Linked DNA regions of Stegostoma tigrinum. The protein of the gene in region 2 interacts with the protein of the main gene of each other region in a pairwise test. Links are inferred from orthologs where the notes say so. Each region holds a gene or a part of one and is shown on either strand. Other genes may lie near its edges. The genes, in order: protein PALS1-like, lin7a, mpp2b and protein PALS2-like.

What was found.
Region 1: the proteins of lin7a (region 2) and protein PALS1-like interact in binary tests that used the Homo sapiens proteins (3 or more experiments, as listed by UniProt). The two-hybrid records come from large-scale screens. The link is inferred for Stegostoma tigrinum from reciprocal best matches to the Homo sapiens genes LIN7A and PALS1.
Region 3: the proteins of lin7a (region 2) and mpp2b interact in binary tests that used the Homo sapiens proteins (3 or more experiments, as listed by UniProt). The two-hybrid records come from large-scale screens. The link is inferred for Stegostoma tigrinum from reciprocal best matches to the Homo sapiens genes LIN7A and MPP2.
Region 4: the proteins of lin7a (region 2) and protein PALS2-like interact in binary tests that used the Homo sapiens proteins (3 or more experiments, as listed by UniProt). The link is inferred for Stegostoma tigrinum from reciprocal best matches to the Homo sapiens genes LIN7A and PALS2.

The regions. Positions count from the first base shown.
Region 1 is NC_081363.1:69,480,045-69,486,970, forward strand, and holds the start of protein PALS1-like, read right to left. Parts: upstream 3,019-6,926; 5' UTR 2,743-3,018; exon of another isoform or gene 2,619-2,742; intron 1-2,618. UniProt on the Homo sapiens protein: Plays a role in tight junction biogenesis and in the establishment of cell polarity in epithelial cells.
Region 2 is NC_081371.1:40,158,663-40,165,590, forward strand, and holds the start of lin7a (protein lin-7 homolog A), read right to left. Parts: upstream 3,020-6,928; 5' UTR 2,771-3,019; coding exon 2,734-2,770; intron 1-2,733. UniProt on the Homo sapiens protein: Plays a role in establishing and maintaining the asymmetric distribution of channels and receptors at the plasma membrane of polarized cells.
Region 3 is NC_081384.1:19,032,681-19,040,176, forward strand, and holds the start of mpp2b (MAGUK p55 subfamily member 2b), read right to left. Parts: upstream 3,018-7,496; 5' UTR 2,783-3,017; coding exon 2,695-2,782; intron 1-2,694. UniProt on the Homo sapiens protein: Postsynaptic MAGUK scaffold protein that links CADM1 cell adhesion molecules to core components of the postsynaptic density. In CA1 pyramidal neurons, required for synaptic KCNN2-containing channel function and long-term potentiation expression.
Region 4 is NC_081355.1:77,026,202-77,033,206, reverse strand, and holds the start of protein PALS2-like, read right to left. Parts: upstream 3,023-7,005; 5' UTR 2,975-3,022; intron 2,883-2,974; exon of another isoform or gene 2,862-2,882; intron 2,663-2,861; exon of another isoform or gene 2,551-2,662; intron 1-2,550.

The DNA.
Region 1 (6,926 bases), on a different chromosome or scaffold from region 2:
GTTTTCCCTAACTGAAAACTTGATCTTAAGTTCACGTGCTGGATCAGCACATACCTAACACAGTATTATTACAATAGTTACAGTGAAATAAATAGTAATTCAAATAGCTGAATGAGCCATAGCACATGGTTCCAAGAATCCAACAACTCCAATTAAGTGCTGCTGTTCAACTTCACCTTAAATTCCATAATGAACTTCTGTTTTGCAAAGCCAGCTCATCACCATTGTCTCAACTCACACAGCTAATTCCTAGCAGTAGTATTGTAACTGCAGACACAAAACTGCATTGTCAGTACAAATAGCACAAAATAGATCACATGGAAAAGTAAAAATAAACTTACATCTTAAACTTTGAAGAAACTTAGGAGTTTCAAAATAAATTTCATTCTAAGATGCATCTCTCTTATTCAAACTCTAAGTTATATACTTAGGGGGGAAAAAAAGTACCAGTTTCATTCAATCTCAAAATCCATTGTCAGACCATAAGTTATAGAATGACTGAATCAGGTCAGTGCCTGGCTCTTTGGTAGAACTGTCCAGTTAATGTCACACCCCACAGTCTTGTAATTATTTTCCTTTGAGTGTTTATTCAATTCACTTTCAAATTTACGATTCTGTTTCTATTATCACTTCAGAAAACATTCTGGATCACAACAACTCACCATCAAATAAAGCCTTGGCATCTCATCCTACGACCTGTAGCAATTTGTATACATTCCTATACCAATTTTAACATGTGCACATTTTAGTTCATCTGGCCTGTCATCATTGATTGTAAAACATATCATTTCAAACTTCTCTTAATTTATAGGTCATCAATCATTTGCTAGTGCACTTCAGTCACCTTGAAGTCTTGTTTCTCGCCTCATTAATTACTACATTTCCAAGCTCTGTACAACACAAACTTTAAAATTATATCTGCTGTACCAAATCTAGGCTAATCAATAGCAAAAAGATCAGTGATCCTAATGCGTACATCCCTCCAGCCTGAAACAGCATTCATCTTTAATGAGGAAAAGTCATTGACCTGAAACATTAACAGTTTCTCTTTATAAAGATGCTGCAGGATCCACTGAGTATTTCCAACTTTGTTACTACTCCATTAACCACTACTGTTTACTTTCTTCACTTAAACTTTATATCCATGTTGCCAGATTTCCCCAAACCCCGTGGTCTATCAATTCAGTAACAAGGAATTTCTGAAAACACACACAATCATGTTCATCATCACAATAGTCTTTTACTGTGAAGAACTTGACAAATAAGTCAAACATAACCTGCTTTAACAAATCCAGACTTCAAATGATTACTCAATATTGATCCAAACATCACTTAATTTTGTCCAGATTATTGGTGCTAAAAGCTTCTTTTGATGCTAACCTAATTAGCCCATAATTGCTGCTTTATCCCACTTTAAACATGTTAAATCCTTTGGTAGTGCCCCACAGCATACAAAATTGAGAGATTACGACTACAGCGTTTGTAATTTCCACCTGTACCTCGGTCAATAATATGGCAGGCATCCCATCTGGACGATGTAGCTGTTCTTTTTTCGAGAACTGCTTGCTTTTAAATACGTCTTTTTATATATTTTGATTCTAAAACCACAGTCTCTTATTTTTAACAAACAGATGCAAATACTTGTAAATTGCCTTAGTCGTGCTCTCTGCCAGTTCAAGTCGATCTTTCTGGTCCTCAATCGCCAAATCCTGCCTTTGATCGTCCTGTCATTGTTTATGATAGTCATAAAAGACCGTTGACTTACGCTTATTTTCTCCTTGTCCCTGTTAGTTTCTAAGTTTATCGTTACGCTTTTCACATTTGGCTTTGTTATCAGTGGTATTTTGAATCGTAAATTAGTCCATGAGGTGTCCTTTCCGAGTTTCATTTTAATGTTTAAAACTATAGCTATCCAACTAACTTTAAATTGCCCTTCTTTTCCCTCGTCCAGCAAAGTTTCTATTCCGCACCCAACCCACCTTCACACCGAAAGCACCCGCCCCGGGCACCCAATTGCCGAAAGCTGAATTGGAGTTTCTAAACTGGAAGGACATCTCTTGTGGAATTACTGCATTTTAATTCTGGCGAAATCATGCAGCATTGACGCTGCTGTGAATTATTTTCAGTCTAACCTTGTGAACCAGCACAACATCCAGAAGCACCACTCTGCCCATCTCCACCACAACTGCAACTACCCAGGATATTCCAACAATCCCACCGCGCAACAATGCCAAACTTCGTTTTTGTCTACACTTGTTTAGAAAACAAGACTTGGTTAAAATTTCATGACGGCTGGACCTAACTGAGAAGGTTAGAGGCCAGAGATGGGAATTAGTTTCCCTTCTTTGCCGGGGAGGATGTAAATTAGATGCGAAGGCTCGGGCGGTGACAAATAAAGGAGAATCCAACACACCCAAAACCCAGTAATACAGAGCTAAAATAGCCTGCCTTTTCTTTCCTCTGAGACGAGTTCCTTCGGCACCAGAGGGAGAAGGCTACGTGGACTCGACCTTATGCTAAAAACATTTCCTAGTAACTTTTTTTCCAGCCCGACTCTTCCTCCCTCCACCACCCCGTGCCGCCTGCCTTTTCTTCTCCTTTGCCAACCCGATTCTCACCTCTTTCCCAAACTAGGCCGGACTCCCAAGCCAAGTGAAAGGCTCCTCTCGATACAAACTTGCGCCTTGGCGGGGGGTGAATAAAACGGCCGAAAGCTCCTTCTGGCGGTTGATACCCACTAACCTGTTGACGGAGAAAGAGAGCCGGGCTTGATGCCGGTGTCTGAGATCAGACACTCGGCTGTGAGCGAAGGAGCTTCACGATCGGAGCCCCCTTACTCTGTGTGTTTGCCGGGGGTGGTTGTTGGATTTGTTTTGTTCGACACCTCCTCACCTCGAATGGAGGATTCCAACTGCCTCCGGCCGCGAGCGGTGCGTTCTTTCTTGGGGGAGGGCGGGGGTAGGGAGGAGTAAAAATAAACGGACTCTGTGCCTGGCTGAGGACGCGACCCGTGCGTGTGCGCGCAGTCGCTCGCGAGGGCTCCTCAACCTCGCCCCCTTCGGAAGAGGGAGGTACAAGCTCGTTGAGTTTCGGGTGAAGGGAAAGTGGAGGTGGGTGTGGGAGAAATGGATGCGCGCGCATGCCTGCTCCAACTTAGGCCCGGCCGCGCGCGCGCATGCCTGCTCCAACTTAAGCCCGGCCGCGCGCGCGCACTCACTGGAGACAAAGGTGAAAGCCCGAGCTGCGCCAGGAATGTTTTATTTTGCAATGCGATCCCAGCGGCGGAGGGGAGAAAGGAGGAGGAGGGGCTCGATCGGATCGGGTTAGTTCAGGGAGCTTTGGAAATCACAACACCTGACTGTCGCAGTCTTCTTGCAGACTTGAAGCAAAGCAGATCTACCCCAGCACCTCCGCTTATCCCTTCCTGGGACTGGAGCCAGCCTTCTCAACACTTTTCTGAAACTATTTCGCGGTCTTGCCGGGCGACTCCTTTATTTCCACCCCATCCCCCTCCACTGGTGAATCGCTACATGGTGCAAGAAAAAAAACAGAAACTAGTGTCAATTCTCAATTCCAAGTATCCCTGGAAAGATCACAGGTTGCCTCAGTTTGAGGCCTGAACAAAAATGCCATGCCCGACCTTAATACCGAACACGGTCAACTTCAGCGGGACGTCTGCGAAAGACAAGAGTGCTTGGGCTGCTCTTGGTCGATAGTCATATCAGAAAGGCTAAACATGCTGCTTGGCCTGCTGTATTCATGCAGCTCCACACCTTGTTATCTCAGAAAGGCTAAACTCAGGATATGAAATGCTGAAGAAACTCGGATCTGGCTGTAGGGACGTGAATGTTTCGAGTCCCGTTTACTTCGGGAACTCGAACACTTTCTGTTTTTATTTCAGATTTCCAGCATCCGCAACATTTTGCGTTGACGTCAGGGAGAACAAACTAATTCCAACATTCCCACAAATAACTTCACCGTGTCTTGAATACCAAAGGCAAATATTATTGCAAACAACTGAGGTGGAGGTTTCGTATCAACAAAATATTCTCAGAATCAATATCTGCCTCAAATACAGCCAAGTTTCCAGACTCTGCTGCAATTAGTGCAATGAGCTGATTTGGGTAAATGATTTGCTGCCCTCCCGCTATCGCGCAATGTTGTGATACACGCCCATCTGTTTTCAGTTTGGTGCCTACCAACCACATTACTTGTCACAATCCACTTCCCCCGCCCTGGTTCTGAGTGTTTGGCTACATCTTCCGATAAGCTAATGACGCTGCTAATTGTAGGCCTTGACGAACTTTTAAAAAATGAAAGCGAGTCCAAAATGCTGTAGAATGCACAGGCTATTGGCGAGTTTATGAATCGGCGTGTGAAATTTTATAGACGAAGTTGACTTAGGTTGTTAAATAGCTCCCTGATTTTGGAGATTTAGAAAAAAAAACATTGTGGATCGCACGCTTGGCGAGTGAAAAGTTGTTACTATCCTGTCGTTTTTCATGGACACAGAATCCGTTCCTGTGAAGATGCATGTAAGCGTGATATCTTCAAAGATACGTGAAAATTATACGCATCTCGGGGGCATAACAAGCATTAAGACCAAATTCTAATATCCAATTTTCCGTGTGTGTAGTTGAAGGTATAACCCTACTTTCTTTAACTGTTCTCTGCTATCACCGGTTTGATGGACTGTATTTAAGACTAGCGACGAAGATTTGTGCAAGGTCTGTCACACAGTCTCGAACGATGGGTAACAAGTTTTGTCTTGAATCATTGAATCATTTATTGTCACGTGTATTCGGTGTAAAACTACAGTGAAAAGTGGGTACCTTGAGAGCGCCATTCATAAGAATAAGAAAAAAAATAATTTAAGCGAGTCCAACTGTCTTTTCCACCGCGCAGTCTCCCTTCCTTTGCAGTTACGTGTTTTCTGCTCCCCGATAAACAGTTTGACAGATATCTTTAATCAACCTGTTCTGGAGCAGGTGGCCCTCGAAGCGGCATATTCTGGCCCAGAGATAGGGGCCGTAGCGCCACAATTCCCTGCCCAACTGGTTTTGTGAAAAGATAACGAGGTGTAGAGCTGGATGAACACAGCTGGCCAAGCAGCATCAGAGGAGCAGGAAGGTTGACGTTTCGGACCTAGACCCTTCAGAAAGAGTCCACTTCTAAAGATAATTCGCATTTTACCCGGATTATGGAAATCTGCCCTTCTCCGAATCGAATTTTTACCAACCAAGGACACAGACAAAATTTAGCATGTTTATCAAGTAAGACAATTGTAAATTGCAAAGATTTAAAATCGATAGTTGTTCTTAACGTAGGCTATTATAACTATTATAATGTTAATATTCAAAATATGTATTGAGTAAACGTGCTATATTAAAAACACTATATTACCACCAGCCTACGATACTTGTGCTCAAGTTATCACACGTTTAATTTTCATCTAACCATCCTCCATTTCCTCACTAAATTATGAATTAAGGAAGTAAAATAGAGCCCATGGAATACCACTGAATTAAATGTGAGGCTTTTAAAAAGCAATTTTAAATTAGATGCATATGTTGTGATGCCTTAACCCCATCCCGACACACCCATCCCACATCAGCTCTCATGCACCTCACCTCAAATTCTCACTGAGTTTAGCAGGATGCCAAAAACAGTCACACAGGAAAATACCTGGGAAACACAAATACCAAATAAAAGTCTAAAGAAGAGTCAAACTGAACTCAAAATATGAACTCTCTTTCTCTCTCTACAGATCCTGCCAGACCCACTAAGTTTCTCCAGCACTTTCTGTTTTTATCTGTTTTCCAGCACTACAGTATTTTTGCTTTTATAAAAGTCCTGTTGTTGTAAACAAGAAGACAATGTTTATTTTATCCAGCATGCCTATAATAACAGAATATAACTATTCTGTTTTTATATAAAATTGAGTGTTTTTGGAGGATTTGGTTTGCCTCATCTGAAACTTTGGGCATCTCTGAAGTTTTCTTTCACTACTAAAGTTTCTGCTTCCAAAATATGGGTCAGATCTTCATTGATACTCAAAATGAAATAAATCAATTCAAACAGAATTAATTTATTATTATTTCAAACCTAATAAATATTTGGGAATATTCAAAATAAAAACCAAAAGAACTGCAGATGCTGTAAATCAGGGACAAGTTGCTGGAAGAGCTCAGCAGGTCTGGCAACATCTGTGAAGAGAAAATCAGAGTTAATGTTTCAAATCTGGTGAACCTTCTGAGGAAGGGTGATTGGATCCAAAACATTAACTCTGATTTTCTCTTCACAGATGCTGCCAGGCTTGCTGAGTTTTTCCAGCAACTTCCATTTGTGTTGGGAATATACAAAGCCTTTGTGTGGAGAGTATTTTGTTCTGAAGCTAGTCTAACTTGAATCTAGGATTATTCCAGATATAAAACTGTGAAATAGCACCTTGCCCATTTAAACATCATTCATTGTTCTGAAAACATTTGACAACATTTGGACAAGCATATGGACGTACATGGAATAGTGTAGGTTAGATGGGTTTGAGATCGGTATGACAGGTTGGCACAACATCGAGGGCCAAAGGGCCTGTACTGTGCTGTTATGTTCTATGTTCTAACATTTAATTCTCCTTGCTTTAAAATGAATATAAATAGTTGTATTTAATACATCTTACAAGATGCATTATTTGATTCTTCTTATTCCATAGCAACATGTGGGGAGGTGTCAATGATGCAGTGATTAGTTATCCTGCCTCAGAGCTGGAAGCACTGGGTTTATCCCTCATTCAGGACTAGGTGGTCAATGGAGTCATGTTCACAATGTGGCCAAACAATGTGAGTATCAGGGAGAAATTCCGGGTCAGCCATGTGTGGAACAGGATATTGGAGCTTCTACAATCCCAATTTGTAACTTGAGGCCACTAA
Region 2 (6,928 bases):
TCAACCAAACCTGTTTTCACCACAATTCCAGGCAGTGTATTCCAGTCCTGACCCACTCATTGTGCGCAAAAGGTTTTCTCTCATTACATTCATTCACTGCCAGATCTGGCTGGGCCATATAAACCACCATCATCTATTGCAGAGTGCAAAGATAAACCACAACTTCTTTGTTCTTCCACAAACAAACTTGTGAAAGCCCTATTTCTTCCAGTCTTACCCATGTGTATGTGGAATTTGCGGACTTCCTTGTCACTGAAATTAAGTTAATCTGCTACTGCCAATCCTTCCCCAGCCCATCTGACGAAACTCCGTCAAATGTCCCCCTCCCAAATTTGAATCTGTTTTTAGTTTCTTATCAATTTGCTTCTCCTCCACTTACTCACATGAAGCTCTTCTTCCCTCAACCCTACTTCCAGTAAATTGTAACCCATCTCAAATTCTTTACTCATGTTAGCTGACATTGTTAAATGATTCTCTTTCTTTTAGTTCATCTCCCAAATGTGCACATCTCTTCCAGAACTTCATGTTTAAATTCCTCAAATCAATTCTTCCCAGCAGTGTGCCAATATTACTCCTATCAAAGTCACAAATATCATCATGCAGGTCTGAGACAAAAGTAAAATATCCCTCATTCTTCTCCACTTCTCTGCAAACTCAGGCATAGTTGACTACAAATCCTTTCCAATGCCTCTCTAAAGTCATCAAGATGGTTGGGTCTGCACTCAACTGCTTTCATTCCTATCTGTCTAGTTATTGACAGAGAATCATTTACAATGGCTTGTCTTTGAGCTCCAGGATGTTAGGCATCCCAAGATCAATCTTTGGCCCTTGTTTCATCTCTATATCCTGTCTTTTGGCAACATTACACAAAAGCATTGCCAGTTTCCACATACCTCCTGTGACTTTATCAACTTGCTCAATTGTTGCATTTTCTCGTCACTAATAGACTGCTTGAATGACATCCAGAAATGGATGAGGAAAAATTTCCTCCCATTAAGTACTTACAAAACTGAATCAATTATGTCTCCACCAAAAATTCTGCTCCTTTGTCATCCTCATTCTTCTTCCTCCCGATTGCCCAAACTCAACTTTAACAACTGCATGTTTGGCACTTAGGGGCTTCACATCACTATAACTGCCTATTTCCACCTCAGTAAAATCATTGGATTCTGAACATACTGCCCCTTCTCTGCTGTTGAGGCCATCATTTGTAGAGTCATAGATATGTAAGTCATGAGAACAGATCCCTCATTTCAACTCCTCCATGCTGACCAGATATTCTAAATTAACCTAATGCCATCTGCTAGCATTTGCCCATATCCCTTGTGTGTTTGTCACACCTAGTCTTCACTACTCTATTGTACTCTTGACTGGCTTCCTACGTTCTACCCTCTAAACTTGATTCTATCAAAATATCTTCTGCCCACATTCTTAGTTGCACCAAGTACCATTTGTCCAAAAACTGTCCTTGGTGACTTGCACCGGCTCTTGGCTAACTGGCACCTTGAAATTATTGTTTTCCCCTTGTTTCTAAATTATTTCATGTCATAATCCCTCCCTCCCACTTTGATTTCCTTGAGTCCCATAATGGTCCAACATATCCACATTTCACTAATTCTGGCCTCTTCAAGCTTTGCCAAATTTAAATGCTCCACCATTGATGTCTGCCTTGAGTTGCTGAGGTACCAAAAGCTGGAATTCCTTGTCCACAAGTCTCCAACTGCATCAGGTCCTTCCTTAAAATCTACCTTTTGAGGAAACTTTTGGTCATTTAATCTAATGTCTATGAAAAGAAACAAACATCGGTGGATCCACTTGAAACTTTTACTTCACAATGTTCCTGTTGTAGTGCAAAATTGTATTAACGTGAAGTGTTACATGAACAAGTCATTACTGTTAGTTGTAACTAGTTATGAGCGCCAGGGCTCTCAGTTTGAGACTAATCTAAAATAGCAACTTCAAAGAGCGTGCAAATCAGATGAACTCTTTTCATTTCATCTCTAATTAAAGTCTGATGGTTATTTGTTCTCGTTCCTGAATTGCTATTTCAAATATGCCCTAATCCATCTCGTTGATACACGCAGCCGACCCTTGCAACTACACACTCCTCCTTACACGCAACAGAAAGTGTTACATATAACAAGCAGCTCCGCGAAATATTTAATCGCAGCTTAAATATTAAAACCTTGATTTTAACAACTGAACGTGGCAGGGATATGATTTCGCAACAGAACTGTCTAGGGCGCATTTAGAGAGAAAGCCGATGCCTCCCAGCCCTCTGATTTTCACTGTCGGTCCAGTTATCAAACAAACCGACTGCAAGATAATTTCCTAAAGACGACTTCGTCCTCCATCAGCCGCAATCTCTTCAAGTCCGGAGGGAGGAGAGGAGAAGGGCGAAGAATATATTCCCTTTGATCTGTTTCTTTTCAAGTCTTGCAGACAGCAAACGGAAATTGCCGTTAAAAGAAAATGTCTTGCTAAATGTAATCTATCAGTGGCTTCTGCGCGTTTAACACATTCAGTGGAAAAAAAAATTGCTCCCCAGCATCAGTAAATCTGTCTCCAAACCGTCACTGTGGTCCATCAACGCTACAGGGAACATAAATACTCAAAAGTAAAGACCAATCACACTTCAAGCCACAAAAGCCTTCCAAACTACAATTTTATTTTGTCACAGATTGAGGAAACACTCGGGAGGATTGTGCAGATAAATTACGACTGTTCCCTTACCTCTTTCCAGCGTAAGCGGCTGCAATGTTGTCGCCATGTCTGCAACAGCTTCAGAAAAGGAGGCGTGAGATGGCAGGCAGTGTGAGAAAGGGAGCACTGGCTGGAATGATGCGGCTCACACTGCAGCCACGAGGGGCACAGAGAGAGAGAGAGAGACAAACAGCGTTCATCAGCCACACACACACATCCAACCTCCAATGCACCTCACTCAGGCTGGATTGTACGAGGCACGTACCATTACTAAGTAGCAATGGAAGTGCGAAAGACCTGAGACGCGCTGTTCAGTATCAGCCATTACCACTTCAACATTACCCGGAAGATTAGAAATTTGCAGCAGCAGAGACAAGTTCAGATGTTCAACGAAAAGCACAGCTGGCCGGACAGCATCCGAGGAGCAGGAAAGTTCGGTCCGAAATGTTGCCTTTCCCGCTCTTCGGATGCTGTCTGACTACTGAGCTTTCTCAGCTCCACATTTACTGACGCTTGCTTCCAGCATCTGCCGTCTTTACTGTCCTCAAGTTCAGATATTCAAATCAGTTCAAAATTTGAAGTTTGTGGCAGAATTGAGAGACTGAAGAACTAAAGTATCTGAAATACTAATTTCCAGATATTAAATTTAGTGAATTTACCAAAAGGTCTCCCCTTCATCTGCAATAAATAAAGGCAAATGTCTTAATAAAACAAAACGTCTAGTAGGGGAAAAAAGGAATGACTACTTTCTTAGAGATGAGGGCTTTAAGCATGAGATGTCCACTCAACGCTGAAGAACGCAGATACCATTCCCCTAGGCCAACGAAGATCCTTATTCAATTGGTTAATGCAGTTCTCCAAGGCAACATCAGCACTGATTTTAAGGATTATTATTTAATAATATTGCGTCTTGGCAACAAATTGGTAGGTCTGCCACATAGTTGTTTAAAGCTGCAGTGCAAATTGCTTAGGCACTTTAGTGGGCAGAATCGAACTTATCTAAACTTAGTTTTATAAAATATAGGGGAAGATCTTTCAATCATGGCCATCAAAAACAAAGTTGCTGGAAAAGCTCAGCAGGTCTGGCAGCATCTGTGAAGAAAAAAAAAGAGTTAATGCTTCTGGTCCGGTGACCCTTCTCTGGTGGGAGGTTCTGAGGAATGGTCACCGAACCTGAAACTTTAACTCTGCGTTTTCCTTCACAGATGCTGCCAGACCTACTGAGCTTTTCCAGCAACTTTGTTTTTGATCCTGATTTACAGCATCTACAGTTCTTTCGGTTTTTATTTCAATCATGGCCAGTATGTCTCTCAGCACTATTCTCCTGCCTGCTCCCTGTAATTGTTGATTCCCTTGCTGATCACAAACCTATCCGTCTCTGTCATAAATAAACTCATGTATTGACTTATGTTTAAAGTTTGCCATTTATACACCACCTTTCATGACCGCTGAACATCCCAAAGTGATTTGCTGTGAATGAAATACTTCTGAACTGTAATTGCTGATTGGAAACAGCAGATTTCTGTTTGTCAGGGTTTACAGTGTACATTGTGATAACAACCAGGTAACTTACCTTTGTGATGGTCACTAAGGAACAGACATTGGCCTGAACACCATGGATAACTCCTTGCTCCACAAAATAATGCCATTGTTAAGATATTTGATTTCCAACTGGGAAAGGGCTTGTTTAATCTCTAATCTGAGAGAGGCATGTTCAACAGTGCAGAACTTTCTGGGACTTCACTGGAATGTCAGCCTACATTTTTGTACTCAAGTCCAGGAGTGCAAATTCAAACCACATTTTATCGCCCAATGTAATGTAATGTAACCAATCAAATCAAGGGGAGGCAATGGCCAGTGGTATTATCACTGGAGTGTTAATCCAAAGACCCAGATAATGTTTTGGGGGCCCAAATCCTATCATGGTAGATAGTGGAATTCAAATTCACTAGATATCTGGAATTAAGAACTAATGAAGACCATGAATCCATTGTTGGTTGTTGGGAAAAATCCATCTAGTTTGCCAACATCCTTTAGGGAAGGAAATTGCCATCCTTACCTGGCCTACATGTGACTCCAGACTCACAGCAACAGGGTTGACTTTTAACTGCCCCCTGGGCAATTAGGGGTTGGCAATAAATGCTGCCTAACCAGTGTTGTCCTTGTTCTGTGAATGAATAAAGAATAAAAGTATGGCATTATCACATAATTTCATATCCATCTGTCCCATTAAATCTTCCTTAAATTCTTTCAATCTTCTTTCCAATCTGCCCATCCATTTTCAAGACTAATGGTTAAAGCCATGAGCTTACTGAATGTTAAGGTTGAGTTTAGGACTCACAGAATACCCTAAAAAGCTAATCAAGATTAAGCAAAGGGTTAAATCAAATCCATAATGTAATTAAGACAACAAAATGTGAGGCTGGATGAACACAGCAGGCCAAGCAGCATCCCAGGAGCACAAAAGCCGACGCTTCGGGCCCAGACCCTTCATGAAGGGTCTGGGCCCGAAGCGTCGGCTTTTGTGCTCCTGGGATGCTGCTTGGCCTGCTGTGTTCATCCAGCCTCACATTTTGTTGTCTTGGAATCTCCAGCATCTGCAGTTCCCATTATCCATAATGTAATTAGTCAGGGAAAACACACAGACAGGAGACAGCAATTCATTGGTTGTAGAGGGCAAACAGGTTGATGAAGCTACTCCCTGAGACTGCAGGTAGCAGCTTCTCTCCTCTTTTTGAACTAAGAATTACAGTGTGAAATAGCTCTTCTTTTGGTCTTTCTCCATCTGAACAAACCCAATTGTCAGGCAAGATGCACACTTTATCCCTCTGCACCTAATATATATTTCACAAGGCCACTTCCTTGAATTAGATAGAGGTAATGGTAGGTGTCTTTTCCCTAAGGTGGGGGGTTTCAAGACTAGGGGACACATTTTTAAGGTGAGAGGAGAGAGATTTAAGACCATAAGACCATAAAACCTAGGAGTGGAAGTAAGGCCACTCGGCCCATCAAGTCCACTCCGCCATTTAAATCATAGCTGATGGGCATTTCAACTCCACTTCCCTGCACTCTTTAAAAAAGACATGAGATGTAAATTTTTTACATGGACGATGGTTCACATGTGGAATGAACTTCCAGAAGAAGTGATGAATGTGGGCTCAATTACAATGTGGGACTGCACTTTCTCACCCCCAAACTGAATTTTTAATTCGATCATACTATGGTCACCAATCCCTAGGGGGATCCTTAACTATCATATCATCAATTAATCTCTCCTCAATTCACAACACCAAATATGGAGTAGCCTGCTCCCTGGTTAGTTCCACAACATGCTGCTCAAAGAAACAATCTCTAATACATTCTATGAACTCTGCCTCCATGCAACCTTTGCCAATTTGATTCTTCCAATCTATGTGTATGTTAAAATCACCCATGATTATTGCCATACCTTTCTTACAAGCCTCTAATATTTCCTGATTTATACTGTGCCCCACTGCTGAAACATTGTTTGGAGTCCTATAGATTACTCCTACCAAGTAGTTCTTCCCTTTGCTATTTCTTATTTCAATGCAGACTGATTCCACATCTTGATGTCCCGTGCTTATGTTATTTCTCATTATAGCTCTGATCCTTCCTTCACCATCAAAGCTACACCACCTCCTTTTCCTTTCAGCCTATCCCACTGAAATGTTGAGTACTCTGAATTCCTAGACCTGGTCTCCTTGTAACCATGTCTCAGTAACTGTAACCAAATTGTACCCTTTTGCTTCTATTTGTGCCATTAACTCGTTAATTTTGTTTCAAACGCTTTGTGCATTTAGATACAAAGTTTTTAAATTTGTTCTACTGTGAAATTTCCTTAATCTTTTATAAATTCTTGGTGCATAAAGACAATCACCTATTCTGTCCCATACCTTTATTATCTGGTAACCATCCGCCACATTGCTAACCTGCACTCTTACCTCCTCCTTTAATTTGTGTTTTCTAATTTCCCCTACAACTGAGCTCCCCGCCCCCCCACCCCCGGCTTAATTTAAAGCCCTGTCAATAGCCCTAGTTATGCAATTGACTAGGACTCTGGTCCCAGCGTAATTTGGGTAAAGACCGGCCCATCGGAACAGGTCCCTTCTTCTTTAGTATTGGTGGCAATGTCCCATGAATTCAAACCCATTTCTCCCACACCAATCTTTAAGCCACACATTCACCTGCTTAATCATATTGGCCT
Region 3 (7,496 bases), on a different chromosome or scaffold from region 2:
TGATACACATTGTAAAATTGTAAGCATGCTGGAAAATAATTTATCATGCTATATCTCAGTGATCAGAGTAACACTTATTGCTACGTTCAGAATCAGTAAGTACTTGCTTATAGTCCATAGAAACCTTGCAAACCTGGCTCAGTATAAACTTTGTGAAAAGGCAAGTTGTCTTTCCTTTGATGATTCACTTAAATTCATCCAACTGGAAGATCATGAAATAGCTCTCAGCTCCTCCAAACTTGAGAGCTTGCCAGTTGAACAGAGTTTGCTCATTTTGATCTTTATATCTGACAACACAAAGCCTTCTCAAAGGAGCTCCAAATGTAAATTGATCTGTTTACATAACATAGCATTGGATTTTGGTTGGAGAGGCAGGCAGTTACCAACTTGTCTTGGTAAAAATGGTCTGGAAGTTCAAGACTTTTGGGAATGGAGGTGGTGCGTATGGAATGAAAGTAAGCTTCCTAATCCTGGAAACAGATGCTAGTAGGACCTGAAGAGGTGAGGGAGATTTTAGGCCATCTAGCCTTGAACCCCTGCACCCCTACATCCCATGCACCCAGCCACTTGCCTTCTCTACCCTCACCATGCCAATTCTGGACTCCACTCACTGCGAGGCTCCTCATATATCCTGGACTGCGGTGGACAAAGTTAGAAGTCATATGACATCAGGTTATAATCCAACAGGTTTATGTGAAATCGTAAGCTTTTGGAGCGCTGCTCCTCATCAGGTGAAGTAGAAGGAAGTGCGCAGGTAAAAAACATATAGGCAGAGAGATAATGACAAATAATTCCAGGTATTTAAGTGTATCAACAGATAGGTACAAGTAGTGTGAGTGGAGTGTCAACAGGCTGAACAACAAGTCTTTGCAGGGGATCAAAAGTGTCAAAATGACACAAATACACAGCTGAATAGTAAGTGAAGGGATCACCTATGAAGTGATTAATTAAGGCAGAGAGATAACTACAAAATATCAAAAATAAGATGGTGCTAGAGACAGATCAAATGGCTGGAATAACATGATGGCTATCAGAGTTGCATGACGAGGGTCTAATCAAAGTAACAAGTAAGCCAAAACTGTACAAACTAATTAAGGTAGAGAGATAATAATAAGTTATCAAGATGGTGGTGTCAAAACAGAACAGTAAGGAAGATTTTTATAAACACAGAATAACATGGTGCACCTGCAAAGACTTGCTATTCAGTCTGTTGACACACTACTCACACAATTTGTGCCTATCTGTTGACACTCTTAATTACCTGGAATTATCTTGCCACTATCTCTCTGCCTATATATTCTGTGCCTGTGCACTTCCTCCATTTCACCTGATGAAGGAGCAATGCTCCGAAAGCTTGTAATTTCAAATAAACCTGTTGGGCTATAACCTCATGTCATGTGACTTCGAACTGACACAAATTCACCAAGAATTGGTGATCACTGTTGCTTGGTTTGAAGCCACCTAGGACCACTGACCCTAGATCTTGGGCTTGGTCAAATGAACTGAATGCCAAATGTGACATAGCACTTAACTGAGGGTGTTTCTGAAAGGCTGTTGTAAAATTGGAAACAATAAAGCTGTGCCCTCTGGTTCTCGATCCTGTTGCAAGCAGGGACAGTTTCACCCTATTAACTCTGATGGGGTAGTAATTAATTGGATTGGCTTTGTCAGACTTCTTGTCCCCATGGGAATGTTGGTAATATTCATTTTGTGGGTGGCAGTACTGGAACAACCTACAGACTACAGACTTGGCTCATTCTCTGGTACACACCCTCAACAGCTCAGCTGTGTAGCTGTTAGGGCCCATACGTAGCCTTCGCAGAATTCAGTGGGTTCAGTAGTTTCTTGATAATAGGTGAATGGAATCAGTTTGGTTGAAGTCAGGTTTCTGTGATGCTGAGGGCATCAAGAGGTGGCAGAGATGGATCATCCATTCAGCATTTCTGGCTAAAGATGGTTGCAAATGGTCTAACTAGCTTTTAAAGATAGCAATTTCCAGATTACAGAACAAATGAATTTGCACTCAATGCTGTAATTCTGCAAAACATGTTACAGAAAAATAAAATCAACAAGCTGCACCTAGAAATGATTTTGGTCTCAGAAAGGGTAACTCAAACAGTTAGTTCATATTTAATTAATGCTCAGATAGCAGCAAACTGATTGAAATTCAGTCTCTGTTCACTCATGGGATATGTGTCACTTGGCTCCTCCAAAGCTTTCTGCGATGACATGAACATTAAAAGGTAAAATATTTTACACTCTCAATTCTTTGTAATAATGTCATGACAAGTTAGCATCAGCCTATCCCCGTACCCACATATGATAACAGATTCTGTAATTAAACAGAATTATCTCAAACAGTATTTTTCCAAGTATTCTTTGCTTTTCCTGTACTAATACTGCTCTGTTTATCATCTAAAAATCAGCAATAAATAGCAAAGTGTAGAAAAAAACCGAGGGATAATTGTTCAAGTAAATCCAACAAAATATGCATAGACACTCAGAACAAAGCTTCCATTTCTGCTTTATTGTTTTACATAACACGCTGAAGAATTAAATGAGTGCTGCACATTGAAAGTAATGTATGAGCCTTACTGATACCACATATTTGCAAACAAAAACTACATTGTCATTACAGCAAAAAGTCTAATCATAATTGTGATCTAAATCACTCATTTCTTAGACAAATCTTACCTCCGTCACTCTGGTTTGACCTGTTTGTTTCAAATGATGCTGAAGAATCCACTTCTAATGAGGTTGTGTGTGACTGACTATTATCCATGCTGGGCTTTAATTAAGCTGTACAATGCTTTTGTGCCTCTGCTGCCTACACAGGAACCCTGGCCCCTTTTCTACTTTAGCACGTCAAGCACACTACATGCTAACCAGCTCTTGCAGAGTTCATCAATGAGAGGAGAGTCCGATACGTTTTACGTTTGAATGAGCAAACAGCTTGCCGTGCTTAAGGTCCCCGTCGGTGGTTTCTGACCAGGTCCGTACTCCAAACCCTGCCTTTGTACACACACACAAACTCTAACTGACCCAATTCCACAAATGGGAAGCAATGCTGATAGTTGATGCAGTTGAGACAAACCACTTTCGCTTCTATTGTATACTTGTTACACAGGTTCCTTCCCTGCAGCATGCCACCCAGAGTAATTTGATAGACTATGAATTGTGTTCTTTCTTCAGTAACTTAAGTAACCCTTAGAGTACCAATCATATGTATTTTATTTTAATTCCTGCACATGAGCTCTGACAGGGCCTGAACACCACAATGTTGACTTCTTTCAACCTGAGATAGTACAAGTTAAAGCCCAAAAGCTTCTTGGACTAAAGCCACGTCATTATTTATCCATGAATGAAATGTAACTTCTTAGTCACTTTTAGGCAGCTAGAAAAGTTGTTTTTGTTCCTTCCCATGAAAAGGTTGGCTGTTTATCCTTTCCTACTTTTTCTCCCCTTCTATCAGTTTCAGCTAGTAATCGGTTCAGATCATTAAATTTCTCCCTCCCTCTCAATTTCACCATGTTCCTGATATCCCAAACAGCTTAATGGAAAAGGGCATCAGATTTTCCTGCTTGTTATTGGTATGGCAGAAATTAATTGACTATTCCCCTCATTGATTAAAAACCACATGAGAAGAAATTTTTTGATGGTCTGTGGGATAAATACCTTTAGTGGCTTAACAAAGTAAAAAGACTTCAAGAAATATGATGATGCAAAATATTATAAAAGGCAAAACATTTGGAGAGAAATAAATCTCAAAATTGCAAAAAGTATGTCTAAATATAATCTCTGGTATGAGGTTAATGAGGAAAATCCTCATGGTCCTGCCTTTGCTTGGGGCCCAAATGATAATTAGATGTACATTATTGACCTCCTGTCATTCTCAGAACTTCATGATGATTAACAATTAACTTTGTAAAATATTGGGGAGGACAGCAGCTATTCTGTTTGAAACATTTTATGACAAATAGAGAAAGTACTTGTTTTGTCATTTGTGCAAATCTCAAACAAGCAGCTCACTGATGGGACACAAATGTGACATATATTAGGATCTATGTATGACACTGTGTCCCATTGGGTTCAACAGTACCACAACAGCTAATGGCCCTTTAAGAGGTTTGACTCACATTCGCCTGGGCCACTTCTTCAATACATTCACACTGTCTTCATACTGTCTCATCACAGCCTCTTCAATGTAGGTACCTTTAAGCTGTCCAACACTCCTACACCTCAAGTTTCTTCTCTACTGTCTTCCAGAACCTTAAAACCTGCTTTCTTAATCCTCCTGCACTGCTTTCCCTTACCAACCTCTCCCTGAGAAATACCTCCCATTATTCCCAGACAGTGAAACTAACATCTCAATGTACCTGGACATTAGCATGTTTCTCCTTGTACTCTCAATCTCTCAGCTTCCTTCTCACCAATTGTAAAAATTGGGAACTACAATACTGCCCTATAAACCTTGACTTTATTAAATATATATTCCAAATTTCCCAGAATTGTGACCCTCAGTTGCTTTAAAATCATCAAAACACTCTATCATTCCTGGATCCCTCCATTCCCAATATCTTTACGCCATCTTCCAATCACTGCCACATTAATAATCTCCTTCCATCACCACCATCCAGATATCAGGATGTCACCTCACACTAACATGTTATATGATGCCTGTACATAATCCTTCCATGCCTTAGAAACAATCCCTATGTGCTTAATGGGTTCCCGCACAACTAAAAGGATTCTTCCATTCTCCTAGACCTTAGGACTTAATTTTCCAGTGTGTAAATATCATTATTTTCTTTCTTACATTTTGGTCATTGCACTATAGGGAAGATGGGTTTGCATCAGGTAGGGTTTGGATGAGAATTATAGACTGTTTCTTGAACTGGAGGGTTTTTGCTCCAAGGAACTATTGGATAGGCTCGTATTGTTTTCTTTGAAACTGGAGCCTGAGGGGAGACCTAATCATGTATAAAGTTATGTGAGGACTCACAAAATTATGGGATAAAACAGGTCGATGTTTTCCTTGGTTGAGTGTTTCAGAACTAAGGGCATAGTTTGAAGGTAAATACTAAGAGCTATGGAAGAATTTGAGAGGGATTCTTTTCAGAGGATGCTTCAGGTCTGGAACTTAATGCCATGGATACCACTCACTGTCCATTGCCAATCTACGGGAAGGACATTCTTTTTTAAAGCACTTTGACATGTATTTGAAGTGCCAAAAGTCACAAGGCAATGGAGCATAAGCTGGAATGTGGGCTTAGGTGGATACCAACCTAAAGGAGAACAGCTTGCGAAGGGGACAGTTAGTGGGTAAGAATAGATATATGTAATGGCAGATGATGTGATAACAAGGCCTGGTGTATGGGGTGAGGGGCTAGGACATGGGATAGTTTAGGCCCTAAGATTATTGAGCTTGATATTGAGTCTGGAGGGCTGCAGGGTCCTCAAATAGAAAATGAGCTGCTGCTCTTCCAGCTTGCGCTGAGCTTCACTGGAACACTACAGTAAGCCTGAGATAGAGATGTTGGCCAGAAAACAGGATGGTATGTTAAAGTGGCAGAAAACTGGAAGCTCAGGATATTTTTGGCGGGCAGAACATTGATGGTCTGTGAAGTGGTCACCCAGTCTGCTTTTTGTTTTCCCAGTGTAGAGGAGATCACATTGTAAGCAGCGAATGCAGTCGACTAGATTGTGAGAAGTACAGGTAAAGCACTGCTTCACCTGAAAGGTATGTTTGGGCCTGTGGATACTGGGGAGGGAGGAGGCAAATGGGCAGGTGTTACACCTTAGCCAGTTGCAGGGGAAGGTACCGTGGGGCTGTGGGTGGTGGCGGGTGGGGGGTAGGATGTTGGGAGTGAAGGAAGAGTGGACTAGGGTGTCCCAAAGGGAACGGTCTTTGCGGCAGGCCTTCTTATCTTATAGCCTGCCATTACACACTACCTATTGCTACCCTAAATGCCTCCATTAACAGCTATTCACCCTCCCAGGCAGATTGTTATGCAGTCCTTTGTCTGTCCAACTGTTGTTCTCTCTCTTTGGGCTCTAACCCCAACTATCACTCCTGAAAACCTCCCCCAACTCTATATTCTGCATATAAACTGTCACTTTCCTAGCTACCATCAGTTCTGAGGAAAGGGCACTGGGCCCGAAACATTAACTCCGATTTCTCTTCACAGATGCTGCCAGACCTGCCGCGCTGGTCCAGCAACTTCTGTTTTTGTTTCTGATTTACAGCATCTGTCGCTCTTTCAGTTTTTATTTACATTTTTGGTTGGCATGCACATAACAGGCAAAGTCATCACATTCTGTGCTGTAAACCTGCAACTTTCCTTTCACTAGTTATTTTTCCCCCTATGTTTCATCTCTACCCATCCAAAGTTCAACCACTCACTGCCACCATTACCCTCTGTGAAAGCCTATTCTTTCCATTCATTCCTTCCCTAATGTCTTTACCTCTGGTTTTTCAACCTTCAATTGCCCATCTTCTCTCACTGGCTCTCATGCATCCAACTCCAACACAGCTTATTCCCATTAAAAAGAAACCCACATAAATAATTTCCCACCTCCGTACTTGCACAAATACAGAGCAGCTTTTCAACCAAAAGCAACTGATGGCCACAAATATAAAATGATAAAATGTCATTACATCCATCTAGAAAATAGCTCATACAAAGATTCATATAGAGGAAAATATTTGCTTTATAAAAATTCTACATACACTATATATGCAAATTCCAATTTATGCATATTGACTGCTATTTATTTTAACTTACATTGCCCTTTTAAGCCATACTACAAAAAAATGTAACATATGCCTTAGTTTTCTCAGTTATATTCATTTTATTTTCTACACTTTATCTATTTCACATTCTATTAATTTATTTTATCCACAACAACTAAAATATAGCAACTCAACAAATTATTTTCCATTGCATCAGAAAGCCCACCTCTACCCAGCAAATGTATCCTCAAGCTATCTGCAAACATGATTTGTAGATTATTGGTGTTTTCACATTTGTTCTTATTCTCTACTTGGTCTTCTATGGGTTTTGTTTTTTTAAAATAATGGCATTTAGTCACAAAACAGTAAGAGGACATTCAGTCCTCTCATGCCTATATTAGTCCTCTGCAACAGTAACTCATATAGTCCCACTCTCCTACTATTTCCATCCTCCACCCTCCACATAGCCCTCAAATTTCTTACCTTCAGATAATTAGAAAAGATAATTTGAAAGTCTCAAATGAACCTGCTTCCAACATAGTTTCAGGCAGTGATAATGGGAACTGCAGATGCTGGAGAATCCAAGATAACAAAGTGTGAAGCTGGATGAACACAGCAGGCCAAGCAGCATCTCAGGAGCATCTTGTTCCTAAGTACTCAGTGTAAACAGGATCTTCCTCATGCCATTGTTGCTTTTACACCTAACATTTTTATTCAGTGTCTTTTGGGTCTTGAGCCTTCTGCCATCAGGAATACTATCATA
Region 4 (7,005 bases), on a different chromosome or scaffold from region 2:
GTCACTCATGCCCCTCAACAGTTTTCCTAAAACTGACACATCCAGCTCAACAACATCAAGACGTTCAGATCACATCCTGTCATTCTAGAGGCACCAAAAAAATTTCAGGAGCAATTTTCTCCAAAATCAAGTTGATTTCACTGCTTTACATATCTGCATATCTAAATATGTTGTCATTTACAAGCTCCTAGTGATAATTTGAGCACAGTAGATATCAAACAATGAATTTTTTTCTTGTATCATTTAGCAAGTGACTTTTCAGCTTACAGGTCACTAGAAATCCAACAACGGAACTTTATTCTGATAAACAAAAATTGTGAAATGACAAAACGTGACTTCTAACTAACATAATGTGGTTGATTCTTTCACACCCAGTTAGGGATGGATAACAAATCAATGCCTAGTGAGTGACAACCACACATGTCCATTGGCTGTAACTTTAACACAAGTCAGTACTGTGTCGTTCTTAAAAAAAAAGCATCAATTTGCCACAAATGGGGATTCAACAACTCTGTATGATTTCAAAAGAAAATCAAATCTCAAATAATTTAACATGCAATTCTTTCAGTTTATTAATACCATTTTCTCCCTTGGACTTGATATTTGCAAAAAAGAACCCTAAACTGGTTTGGTAATATTTTATTTAGAAGCATTAAAGAATGTAGTGATACACAGTTCATTTTCATGCCCTACCCCTCTCAATCCTTAATCATTACTATGTCAAGTCAATAACTGCCAGGAAAAGGCTGTAGTGCTTTAAAATGTGCACATTGAGTTTTCTCCAATCAGGAATATCACTCTTGCACACTTTCAGCAGTTCACTAAAGAAAGTAATGGCAAAGATCTGAATACGGCCAATCTGCCTTTAATCAGACAAAGAGCTCAGAATGCAATCTATTATTACAACAAGTAAAGAATCACAGGTGCACCTCTTTCTAGCTCCATGCCATTCAAAAAGGGAGTGTTAAAAATTAAATGTCCTCACTGCTTCTGAGCCTGTCTGTTCTTACACTCAAGTTGGATGTTGTGTGTGCATTTGTCTTGTGCAGTTAAGTGGCACTCAATAGAACATACTTCCACTTTGTTATTGTTCTTTGACTCAAACTTGAATATCAAGATGTCAGACAAAAACCCAAAAATTGCAGAAGCCTAGTAGTATAGATGAGCCCAGATATAAAGAAAGTAGAGGCAGGTAAAAACAAAATTAGGAAAGAAAGAAAGAAAAGCCACAGAGAGAGTGGGAAGTAATAGTGTGACCCAAAATGATTTTATAAATAAAGAACAAGAATGTTAAAAGGAAAATATTAGAACAGAGGGGTCAAAAAGTAACCATTTCATTTGGTGGCACAGGTTTGGCAGCTGCTCATGCTATATCATTGTTTACAAAGCTCAGTTGGCTAGACAGCAGGTTTGCAATGCACAGTGATGCTGCTAACAGTTTCAATACCGGCACAGACTGAGGTTGCTATGATGGACTCTCCTTCTCAACCTCTGCCCTCACCTGAGGTGTAGTGACCCTCAGGTTAAACCACCACCAGTCACCTCTCTTGCTAAAGACAGAGCAGCCTCTGGCCTGGTAAGACTACAGCCTCTTTTTGTTTATAAAGAGAGAAAGTACATAATTGCATAGGCCAGTCAGCCAAGCTTAAGTGGTAAGAAAGTTACTACAAAAATGATGGACAATATTAGTCATCACTTTGAAGGTACAGATTAACCAACATCAGTTAAGCACTGATGCTAAGGTCAACCTGACAAATTTGATTGCTTTTTTTGAGTAAGTTAACAAGGAACGGTCATTAAGGTAGCTCATTTGATGTAGTCTACATCGATTTTGGACAGCTCTTGTTGCACAGCATTAGAGCCCCTAACAATGGACCAGCGGACCCAGGTTCCAGTTCTATCTATTCTACAGAAGTGTCAATAAGAGGTCAAAATACATGTTCAGACAAGGCCTTGGACATTTCCCCATTTACAGAGGAAAAAATGTTACAATGTTAAAAACAATCTTTTCAAACAACTTTGGTCCATAAAATTCAAACAGGGCAAGCCACAAGATAAAATAAGTTTAAGTGCAAGAGAGTGCTCTGGGATTGGACAGGTGGGAATATCTCGGTTTGAGGGAGTAATTTCACTTTTATGTAAATTTGATCACCAATATAACCTAATTAGCAAGTTCAAGTTCAAAATGCCTACTGCAAGGATTTTGCGAATTTTCTTCTCGACATTCTGTTGTGTACAACGGGGCAGGAACATCATTCAACACAATTACGAACAAAATAGTAACACTTCTTCCGAATTCGTGAAATATGTTTTTTTTCAATACACAGAAACCTCACCTCAACAGTAAAATTTGCAAAATGCCCTTCATCAGAAAGCAATTTTACTACATATGGTCACCTGGTAAAACAACCAAAGTGTGCTTGGATCATTTTTTGAATACATGACCAAATACTCGTGCTGCGAAATCAGAAATGCACACTAAATACATAGAAAGACAAGGCCTAAGCACTTCGTATGATATTATAGGAAGTATAAAAGCAGGCAACTCACAAATTAACATTAGCTTGGATTTTACACGTGTGTCCATTCCCAACCCTCACGGATGATGTTCAGAGATGCAGCGCAATCCATTTCCTCAATGAAGAAGCGCGCCTAAGAATTGCCGCACACACTCCCTCCACTACCCTAGTGACGGACGAGTATTGCTAACTGTGCACTGCACGTAACCGTGCAAGGCGATCACAAAAAGGTATAAAGCAATTAGAACACATTCGGCCGAATCACAATTCGGAGCAGCAGACATTACCCTGGAGGTGCGCTACTAACTTTCACAGTCAGTCAAACCACCTTACTTCACTTACCATTATTTACTTTGTGTAAAAATCCTCTTGTCAATACAGCAAAGAAAAATAAAAGCAACATTAAATGAAGGTGAGGGGGTGGTTGGTTCCACACAAGTGTAAAAAGCACAAACCTGTATCTGGCTACAAGCAGCTCCCCTTCTCGATCTCCCTCCCTCTCCTTCCACAGAGAGCGCGCGCGCACCAATACAACGCAGGAGCTGGGGGCCGAACGAATGAGACAATCGGCGCGTTCCAATGGGAGGCTCGCGCCTTCCACGAGCGGAACACGGCGGGCGGCAGAATTCCACTCGGAAGCCGAAACTTCGCTTTGACAGAAGATGGCGAGGAGGAGGAGGTGGACCAAAGGGTCACGTGCTGCCTCCCCCACCCCCCCCCCTCCTCCGCGCGGGATGGGAGGGGAGGTGAGGAACACAGGCCGCATGCGCCATGCAGGCGGCCCGGACAGCGAGTGATGGACGGTGTGTACGCGCGCGCTCCACTGGTGAACCTAGGCTTGGAGTCCGAGCCATGCCCATCCACTTCTCAGTGGAACGGCTTCTTGTTGTAGTGGAGCCTCGCTCGCAGGGTTTTCTTTCTGGGAACGGCTCGGGCTGATTTCAGAAATATCTGTGAAAAGAACGAAATAGACTACATGTTTCGGGTCTGCTCAGCTTTGATATAGCCACTTTTCTCGTATTTGGTTGGCTTCTCAATTTTTTTGCCTTTGCAGTCTAACTCTTGCATAACAACAAGAACAAAACTGATTTTCCAGAGGGTCACTCCTTAACCTGACTTCCAACTGATACCTTTTGGAAAACGAGCTGAATGGGGTTAATTCTTTGAAATTCTAAAGGAAAGGAAGCTGCCCCTTTTAGGCAGAACTTAATAGGGCATCTAGTAATGACCCAACCCCACGAAGGTTGCCATTGTACTGAAGCAATCTGCCCATTACTGTAATAGTGTGTTCCCTTTGAACTAATTTAGTTTAAAATGATCTTTGACAAAGTTACAGATTACGTCGGAATTGCTAGGCGAAGAAGAGGAATGTTTATCTGAAATAAAAGCAAAATACTGCAGAAGTTGAGAATCTGCAATAAAAATAAAATACTGAAACTACCCTCCTGGTCTGCAAGCCTACGAAACAATTAATGTTCTAAAACGCACAATTCTTCAGAAGTTAAGAGCTATGTCCGACTCAACATTAACTCTGGCTTCTTTTCCTGATACAGTCAGAACTTTTCAGCACTTTTTTTCTCATTCCAAGATTTACCTAATTGAGTTTCAAGAGTTTTAATAGTTGCATGATCAATAACATATTGTTTAGTCAAGTTGTTCAGTGATTATATTACACACTTCAGGAACAGATTGTACTTGAACTCAGGCTGCCTGGCTTAGAAATTGGGACACAATCGCTGTTTTACAAGTGCTCCATGATTAATAATAAATTTTGTTAACTTTATAGCAATACATTATAACCTATCCTAAATATTTGCCCTTTTGACTCATCCTTTCCACCAATCAAGTCCTCAAAAGGCATCCAACAGCATTTCCAATCATTTATTGCATTGCTTTCCCTTTAGAGTGGAAAGATCAAAGATAATTAGGTGCTCGTGAAGTCATCTGTTGTGGTAGGAATAACAACAAAGTGGACTATTAAATAAATGGTGAAAACTTTCACCTGGGTGTCCTTTTGCATGAATCACAAAAGGTTGATTTGCAGGTGTAGCAGGTAATGAAGGCAAATGAAATGTTTTCCTTCATTGCAAGGGGGATGGAGTTTAAAACAAAGATGTTATGCTGCAGCTGTATAGGATGCTGGAGAGACCGTGCCAGGAGTACTGTCTGCAGTTTTGGTCTCACTTGAGAAAGGATGTACTAGCAGTGCAGGGGTTGCAGAAGAGGTTTACTAGGTTGATTCCAGAATTGAGAGTGTTGGCTTATGAGGAAATAATGAGTAGACTGGGACTATGCTTATTGGAATTTAGAAGAATGAGGAGGGAATCTTACAGAAATGTTAAAAATATGAAGGAAATAGGTAAGATAGAAGTAGGGAGGATGTTTCCCCCGGTGAGTGAAACTGGAACCAGGGGACAAAGCCTCAAAATAAGGGGGAGCAGATTTAGGACTGAGTTGAGGAGAACTTCTTCACACAAATAGTTGTGAATCAGTGGAATTTCCTGCCCAGTGATGCAGTTGAGGCTACTTTGTTGAAGTGTTTTTAAGGGAAAAATAGATTTTTGAACAGTAAAGTAATTAAGGGTTATGGTGAGTGGGCAGGTTAATGGAACTGAATCCACAAACAGAACAGGAATGATCTTATTGAATGACAGAGAAGGCTCAATGGGCCAGATGGCCTACTCCCACTCCTATTTCTTATGTTCTCAGCTTCTCATCCACGTGAAATGCTTGAAAGGATGGCAAAAGAAATCAAGATAGCAAATTTAAATCTTTCCCCTGTTCTGAAGCAACATTATGAATGAAACAAAAGGAAACTCACCAAATTAAAGTATTGTTCCTGCTGTTGATTCTGAATTCCTGTGTCTTTTGTACTCAATGATCATAACAGGCTTCAAACATACACTGCATGATCATTCTTCATGGATATGGCCAAGGAAAAGATGGACTGTCAGGCTGATTGGCCCCTTGGACCTACGGCTGCTTGGACTTGTATCTATATCAATGTGACCATTGTATCAATGATCTGGAAATCTCTGCAAGAAGATCCTCTGTAATGCCTGTTTCACGTTACTCTGGATAGCCAAAAAACACTGAAATGCAGCCAGAATTTGAGTAGCAACGAGTTCAAATAATACACAGAACGCTATATCTTTCTAGGTTAATATCAAATGTGGACTCAGGCAGATCGTGACTGTTGCACGCAACCTCAGATTTTCGTTTCCAATTCCCAAAGAAATTAGAGGTACTCCTACATAGCGAATCATTTATTGGGATCCCAATGCCTGATAGATGACAAAATAGAATATTAGGTCAGTTTGGAGTGAATTACAGGGCACAAAAAAAACTTTTCAAAATGAATGGAATATTAGCCTTTAGTTTGAGAAGACTGGATTGCAAAAAGGGGAGAATTATAGCTGTTTAGAGCTCTGGCTGGACGTTGCCTGGAGAACTGTGTTCAGTTTTGGGTGTTGCATATCAGAAGCCTTGGAGGGGTTACAGTGTGGATTCACCAGAGTGATACCAGGGCTGAAAGGGTTACATTATGAGAACAGGTTGCAGAGCCTAAGCTTTTATTCCTCTGAATATCGAAGATTAAGGCCTGATCTAATTCGGATGTTTAAGATGATTAAAAGATTTGATAGTGTAGACAGAGAGAAATTATTTCCTCTGGTGGAAAGTTCAGAATAAATGGACATTGCCTTAAAAGTAGAGCTACATTATTTGTGGTAATGTCTGAAAGCTGATTTTCACACAAACAATAGTGAAATCTTGAATTCTGCTCTGAGAAGTTGTTGATGTTATCAGTTAATTGAAAAGCTTGGAACTAAAACAGATCAATTTTCATTCGTTAGGCAAAATTATTAAGAATTATGAAAATAAACGCAGACACGGATGAAATTGCAGATTTAAATTTAGAGTATATTGGAGATAGGATTTCTACTGAAAGATCACCATGAATACCATGTTAATAAATACTGTTTGAAGAAACATCTTGAGATTTGGCCAGAGATTATCAGATCAGACAAATCTATACTAAAATATGGTGACAGTAGTGGGGACATGAATTTTTTCTTTGAAGAATTACGAGGCAAGAGATTTGAGAAGAAAGCCTAAATATTTTAAATTCTTAAAATACTTGAAGTGTGATATACTGCAATGTGACAGCTGTGTTGCATCAGCTAAGCAGTCCCTGCACCTTGCAGTGCCCTTCATTGCTGTCAAATGACCAAAGCAAGTATATAGATGGGCGTTACAGAAGAAAAAGTTCCAAAGGTACAGAACAGACTCAAATCTCCATTCAAAGCAACAAAAGCTCCAGATCAGTACTTTCTTCTCTGTGGGAAGTCCCAAAGCAGATGATGTTGATCTTAGACAAAGTGTCAATGAATCCACAACAGATTTTAGGTCAGTCCAGTGGAGCCTTGTTATTGAACTATTTCAACCAGCCATCCCAAAATCCAAACAAATTGGCACACTATTAATG